2 separate regions of the Mus musculus genome follow, and region 1 is reported to be linked to region 2. Evidence: microRNA targets listed by miRTarBase, many of them from high-throughput screens and not tested one by one. Region 2 holds a microRNA gene; the other region holds the end of a gene's coding sequence.

The links. Region 2 holds the annotated microRNA mmu-miR-669g (UGCAUUGUAUGUGUUGACAUGAU, at 2,258-2,280, shown strand). A microRNA usually pairs through its seed, bases 2 to 8, with sites in the 3' UTR of a target mRNA and lowers its output. Matches are read on the target gene's strand: a 7mer-m8 pairs with bases 2 to 8, a 7mer-A1 pairs with bases 2 to 7 and ends in A, and an 8mer does both.
Region 1: miRTarBase lists Kcnj2 as a target of mmu-miR-669g. Seed matches in the 3' UTR shown: 7mer-m8 at 1,928-1,934 and 7mer-A1 at 1,236-1,242.

Annotation. Positions count from the first base shown.
Region 1 is chr11:111,072,734-111,075,733 of GRCm38, reverse strand. It overlaps Kcnj2 (potassium inwardly-rectifying channel, subfamily J, member 2), which reads right to left. Exons shown (of 2, transcript NM_008425.4): 2 at 1-3,000. The coding sequence ends at 2,664. Among named protein-coding and RNA genes, the nearest start is that of Kcnj2, 8.1 kb to the right of the region's middle.
Region 2 is chr2:10,474,913-10,477,984 of GRCm38, forward strand. It overlaps Mir669g (microRNA 669g), which reads left to right and starts at 2,238; the gene lies at 2,238-2,360. All of the region lies in intron 10 of Sfmbt2 (Scm-like with four mbt domains 2), which reads left to right. It overlaps Mir669k (microRNA 669k), which reads left to right and starts at 388; the gene lies at 388-514. Mir467a-1 (microRNA 467a-1) reads left to right here and starts at 1,434; the gene lies at 1,434-1,506. It also overlaps Mir466b-8, Mir669a-1 and Mir669j.

The sequences.
Region 1 (3,000 bases), not on the chromosome of region 2:
ATGCTAACCGGTAGCATATAGGTGCTAGCTCTCAGAACTCACTGCGGTAGTTATACCTCTTAGGGTATTTTTTTTTCCTTTACAGATTTCTATTTACATTTGGCTTTAAATATGAAAATATCTGATAAACTTTATAAAATGTACACTTTAAAAATGTCGCTTCTGCAAAATTTTCCTTGAAAAACAAAAAGAAAAAAAACGAACAAACAAACAAACGAAAAACAAATCTATGCACCAGAAATTTTAGATGGTTTCTTCTTTTTAAGCAAATAAAGATAAAAAAAATTGAAAGATTTCCCCTCCCACTTTTCTTGTCTCTGTACCCACCCCCTCCCTCTTTTCAAATAACTCAAGTCTTTTTGTGTTTGGGGTCAGTCCATGTTGTCACCCCCACTCTTTACTGCATCTTCATTTGATTGACATTCCACTGAATACTCTTTGGTTTGATTACTTTACTTTGCAAATCACCTTAATAGCAGCATCTGAAGCCTTCCATAGCCTCACACTGTCAGAAGCCAGTCTGTGTTCTCTCCTGTGACTTCTCCCTGTCCCCAACCCAGCAAACTCTTTAAGCAACTTGCAACCCTGCCTTAAAACCCAGATGTACACTTTCTCGACGCTTCTCTCTTGATTTCCATAACACCAACAGTTTTCAAATCCATTGACTTAGAAAGTTGAAAACAGCAGAAATTGTCAACGTTTCTTACAGGCACTGTATCCAGATACAGAGGCTCACAAGCCACAGACCGGCACAAACATCAACCTAAATAAAATACATGGTTCTAGAACAAGCTGATTTTTAATGGCATATTAGGGTGTAATACCATTAGAGGCTTGATTTTGAGACGCCAACTAAAAAGGAACTCAGCAGCCCCAGGGTTTACAAGTAGAGAACATTAAAACCAAGAGAAACAAAGGGAGGGAGAATTGAATGATTGAGCTAGTGTTTGGGAAAGGGAGGGAGGTTTTTATAAAGGAAGGTGAATAGGTAAAAGAGGCTTCTAGAAAATAATGAGTCCTTGGCAACGTGCTCTGAGACTTTCCAAGAGACAATGACCCACTGGCATTAATCATGAATGTTTACAGAGAGAGAAATAACCCTTTAGACTCTTAACTCCTTAGCTTGTAATTATGTTGTGTTTATATGGCTCACTAAGACCTAAAATACTGAAACAGTCCCTCTTACCCTCTGTCATGAAAAAGGAAACTTCCCTCTCACCTGTAAAGTGGATTGCTGCATTGAAAGTCTCTCTCTCTCTCTCTCTCTCTCTCTCTCTCTCTCTCTCTCTCTCTCTCTCTATCTCTGCAGAGACCTTAGAAGGACAAGACTAGAGGCCAGACATCTTTCTTAATGTGACACTGAGCTAGAAATGCCCTGGCAGTCAAGGCTATGAGTCAGCTGCAAAATTTGAAATCTGTTCATCTTCCCTGCTGGGTGACAGTTTGGAAGGTGCCAGGTTACCAACAAAGTTCAACCAAGATCTGATCTTATGGAACCAACTTTGGAATGTGCTAAGAGAGAAAAGCTCAGAAAAAGGGAAAGAAAAAATATTGATTATAGTGCATATGTAACTGTGACCTATGCTTCCCTCCTCCCCTCCAAATAAGAAAGAAGCACAAAAGAACAGACTCGAAAACACACTACATTGATCAGACTTTGGTGTTCTTTTCAGACTATAGTGCAAAAATGAACGGACTGCTTCACACCCTGCTGAAGTTCAAAGATGGTGTCTCTGGATTTCCAAGACAATCTGTGCAGGAGCTTTGTTTCTTTTTAAAAAAATATAACCTCCATGTGCAAAAAAAGAAAAAAAAAAGGAAAGAAAAAAAAAGAAAAAGAAAAAAACAAAAACAAAAACAAAACAATGTGCATTATCTTTGGTATTCATTTAAGGTCGTCTAACTGAAAGTTTGAGATAACCTATTAGCATTGTGGAAAAGAAAAGTATAAAACCCAGAGGCTACCATTTGGCTAGTGTTATATAATGCTATTATGTAATGAGAGAGAGAGAGAGAGAGAGAGAGAGAGAGATAACGAGAGAGAGACAGAGACAGAGACTGACAGGTAGACAGAGAGATCAATTTTTAGCAAACAAATTACTGGCCTCAGAAAATCAGGCTTTCATTTTTGGCAGTTAATAGCCAAATACTTGATGCTTTAAAGCACACTGTGCGCTTTCAACAATGCTCAACACTGACGTCTTAACGTTATGTAAAAGATAAACTACACTGCAACAAAAATACAGTTCGTGTTCATGTAGTTAGCAGCTTTTCAAAAAATTAAGGCAGAGTCTTGCCTGTGTTATGCCATTAAAATCACTCTTGTTCCCCTAAAGAGAAGCATTCCAGGTAAGTCATGTACCCAAACTGAGGCTTGCCTGCATATTCAAGTTTTGTAAAAACACAAAACAATACATTAAAAACCCCATAACTTATACTACAACAGATATGTGCCATCATGTCTCTTGGAGGCCTGCAAAGCACTTTACATCAGTCATCCAGCTTAGTCTTTCCTTGAAACCTTTGTGCTAGCCTTAGTCTCTTGTGGCTGCTTGCTTTCACCCACCTCTCGACCAGTACCATGGTCTGTATAACTGTCTCGGACCTCTGACCAACGTCAGGCTGTGTAGCAAAGTAAGTATTCCAAAGACGGAATCAGCCAGTCATATCTCCGATTCTCGCCTTAAGGGCCTGGGCTCTAGAGGTACGCTTGCCTGGTTGTGGAGATCTATGCCAGGAGGTGAGTCTGTGCTTGTGCTCTCTGGGACTCCGTTCTCACTATCCTCCTCTTCCTCTTTGCTTGTTAGGGCAACTTCATTTTCATAGCAAAATGAATTTGCATTTGAAAGGATGTATTTCTTCTCTGCTAAGTCTCTGGCACTACAAAGGGGGGTGTTAGGTACTTCATAAGTCTTATGGAATCTTGAATAGTCTACTTTATAGTAGTGTTTCTCTTCAAAGAGCACTGGCTCATAGCGGTGACCCCAGAGAATTTCATTG
Region 2 (3,072 bases):
ACTCACCAGGTGTGAAAGACTGTGGATCAGGAGTTCAAATTCATGCTTTACTTCATGATGACTTAGAGATATGCCTGGGATTCATGTGATGCCCCCTATGTATCCCTATCTGTATCTGTTTCTATTGTGTGTGGATTTGAGTATATGGCTGTACCTATCTACACAAATATATACATGTACACAGACACAAACAGAAACACACACACAAACATCAGTGCAACTCATCGATCCATTTGAATGACGTGTGACTTAGAGTTTTAAGATTCCTCAGTACTGAATGGGGAGAGGTCTCACTCAGCAGGAGAAATCCCTTGACAGAGTCAGTTGGATCAGGAGTTCAAATTTGTGCTGAATTTCATGATGAGTTCATGACCAGCATGGGATTCATCTTATGCCCACCAAAAATGTGCATGTGTGTATAGTTGTGTGCATATTCACTTCTCTATATGAATATGCATATACACGCATGCAAACACATTCATAGGAATGGCCAGAGCTATATCTCAGTTAGGAGGTGAGCACTCTTGCCAGAGCTAGGAAGATGAGGAGTTCAAATTCATGTTTAACTTCTTGATGTGTTAGAGTTCAGCATGCGATTCATGTGATACCCACCAAGATTTTGCATGTGTGTATAGTTGTGTACATATTTACTTCTGTACATAAATATGCATATACTCACATGCAAACATACTCCCACGAATGATCCGAGCTATGACTCAGTTAGGAGGTGAATACTCTTGCCAGCATCATGAGGATGAGCAGTTCAAATTCATGTTTAACTTTTTGGTGAGTTAGAGATCAGCCCGGAATTCATGTTATTTTCCCTGTGTATGCGTTTATGTGTAAAGGGAAGTGTGCCTGTACATGCGGGTATATGAACATGCATATATATAAACACACCTAGGGACACATACATGTGCACACAAACACACATGGCAGTCATCCATTTGATTTATACGTGCTTAGAGTTTCATTGAGTGTATATTCATGGTATAGGGAAACATCTCATTTATCAGATGAAAACTGCTTGCCAGAGTTAGGAGTCTCAGGAGTTCAAATTCATGCTTAACTTCATGATGAATTAGAGATCACCCTGGATTTGTGGGATGGACCCTAGGTATGTACATGCCCATATATTGTGTGTGCACGTACATGTGTATATATGATCATACATATAAATACACACACATACAAATGTATTCACACACACAGGCATGCACACTCACACACATAAGAATGACACTCATTGATCCATTTGAATGATATATGTCTTAAAATTTTGCTGATTATAAAGTAGAGGGACAGTGAATATTCTCACTCACCAGGTGTAAACAATTGTCAGTGTCAGGAGGATCAGGAGTTCAATTTCATGCTTAACTTCATGAGCAGTTAGAGATCATCCTGGAATAATGTGATGGCCCCTATGTACGTGCCTGTGTGCGTAAGTGCCTGCATGTATATGCGTGTATATTTTATGCATATACATACACACACCTACACACACATGCACACAGACATGCGGGAATAGCCCTCACGGTCCATTTGAATGATATGTGACCTACTGCTTTGGAGGTTATGTATGACTGGGCCAGGGTGAGGTCTCACAAACCACAGGAAACCCTTGGTAGAGTCGGGAAGATCAGGAGTGCAAGTTCGTGGTAAAGGCATGATGAGTTAGAGGTCATCCTGGCATTCATGTGATTGCCCCTATGTATGTGTGTATGTGTTGATGTGTGTGTACATGTACATATGTGAATATGATATACATATACATACACGCACACATAAGACACATATGAGCACACAGACACATGGGAATGGCACTCATCAATCCATTTGAGTGATAAGTGACTTAGAGTGAAAATGCTTGCTAGAGTTAAGAGTATCAGGAGTTCAAATTCATACTTATCCTCATGAGAGATCAGCTTGTGATTCCTCCATGTATGTGCATGTGTGTATAGTTGTGTGTGCATGTTCATGTCTATATTTGAATATACATAACATACACACACACGTATAAACGCAAGCACACATACACAGACACAGGAATGGCATTCGCCAATCCCTTTGAATGATAAGTGATGTAGAGTTTTAGAGATTATGCAATAGGGGGCATTGAATGGCCTCACTCACCAGGTGTAAAAGATTGACAAAGTCAGGAGGATAAGGATTGCAAATTCATGCTTAACTTCATTTGGAGACATCTTGGTATTAATGTCATGCAACCCATTTATGTGCATGTGTGCTTACTTGTATGTGCATTGTATGTGTTGACATGATATACATAACATAAACACACGTGTATCTGCAAGCACACACACACAGGAAAAATTGCATTCATTTATACGTTTGAATGATATGTGACTTAAAGTTTTCAAGATTATGCAGTAGTGGGACAGTGAATGGTTTTACTCACCAGGTGTGAAAGATTGTGGATCAGGAGTTCAAATGCATGCTTTACTACATGATGACTTAGAGATATGCCTGGGATTCATGTGATGCCCCCTATGTATCCCTATCTGTATCTGTTTCTATTGTGTGTGGATTTGAGTATATGGATGTACCTATCTACACAAATATATACATGTACACAGACACAAACAGAAACACACACACAAACATCAGTGCAACTCATCGATCCATTTGAATGACGTGTGACTTAGAGTTTTAAGATTCCTCAGTACTGAATGGGGAGAGGTCTCACTCAGCAGGTGAAATCCCTTGACAGAGTCAGTTGGATCAGGAGTTCAAATTCGTGCTGAATTTCATGATGAGTTCATGACCAGCATGGGATTCATCTTATGCCCACCAAAAATGTGCATGTGTGTATAGTTGTGTGCATATTCACTTCTCTATATGAATATGCATATACACACATGCACACACATTCATAGGAATGGCCAGAGCTATGTCTCAGTTAGGAGGTGAGCACTCTTGCCAGTGTCAGGAGGATGAGGAGTTCAAAATCATGTTTAACTTCATGATGAGTTAGAGTTCAGCATGCGATTCATGTGATGTCCACCAAGAATGTGCATGTGTGTATAGTTGTGTACATATTCACTTTTGTATATG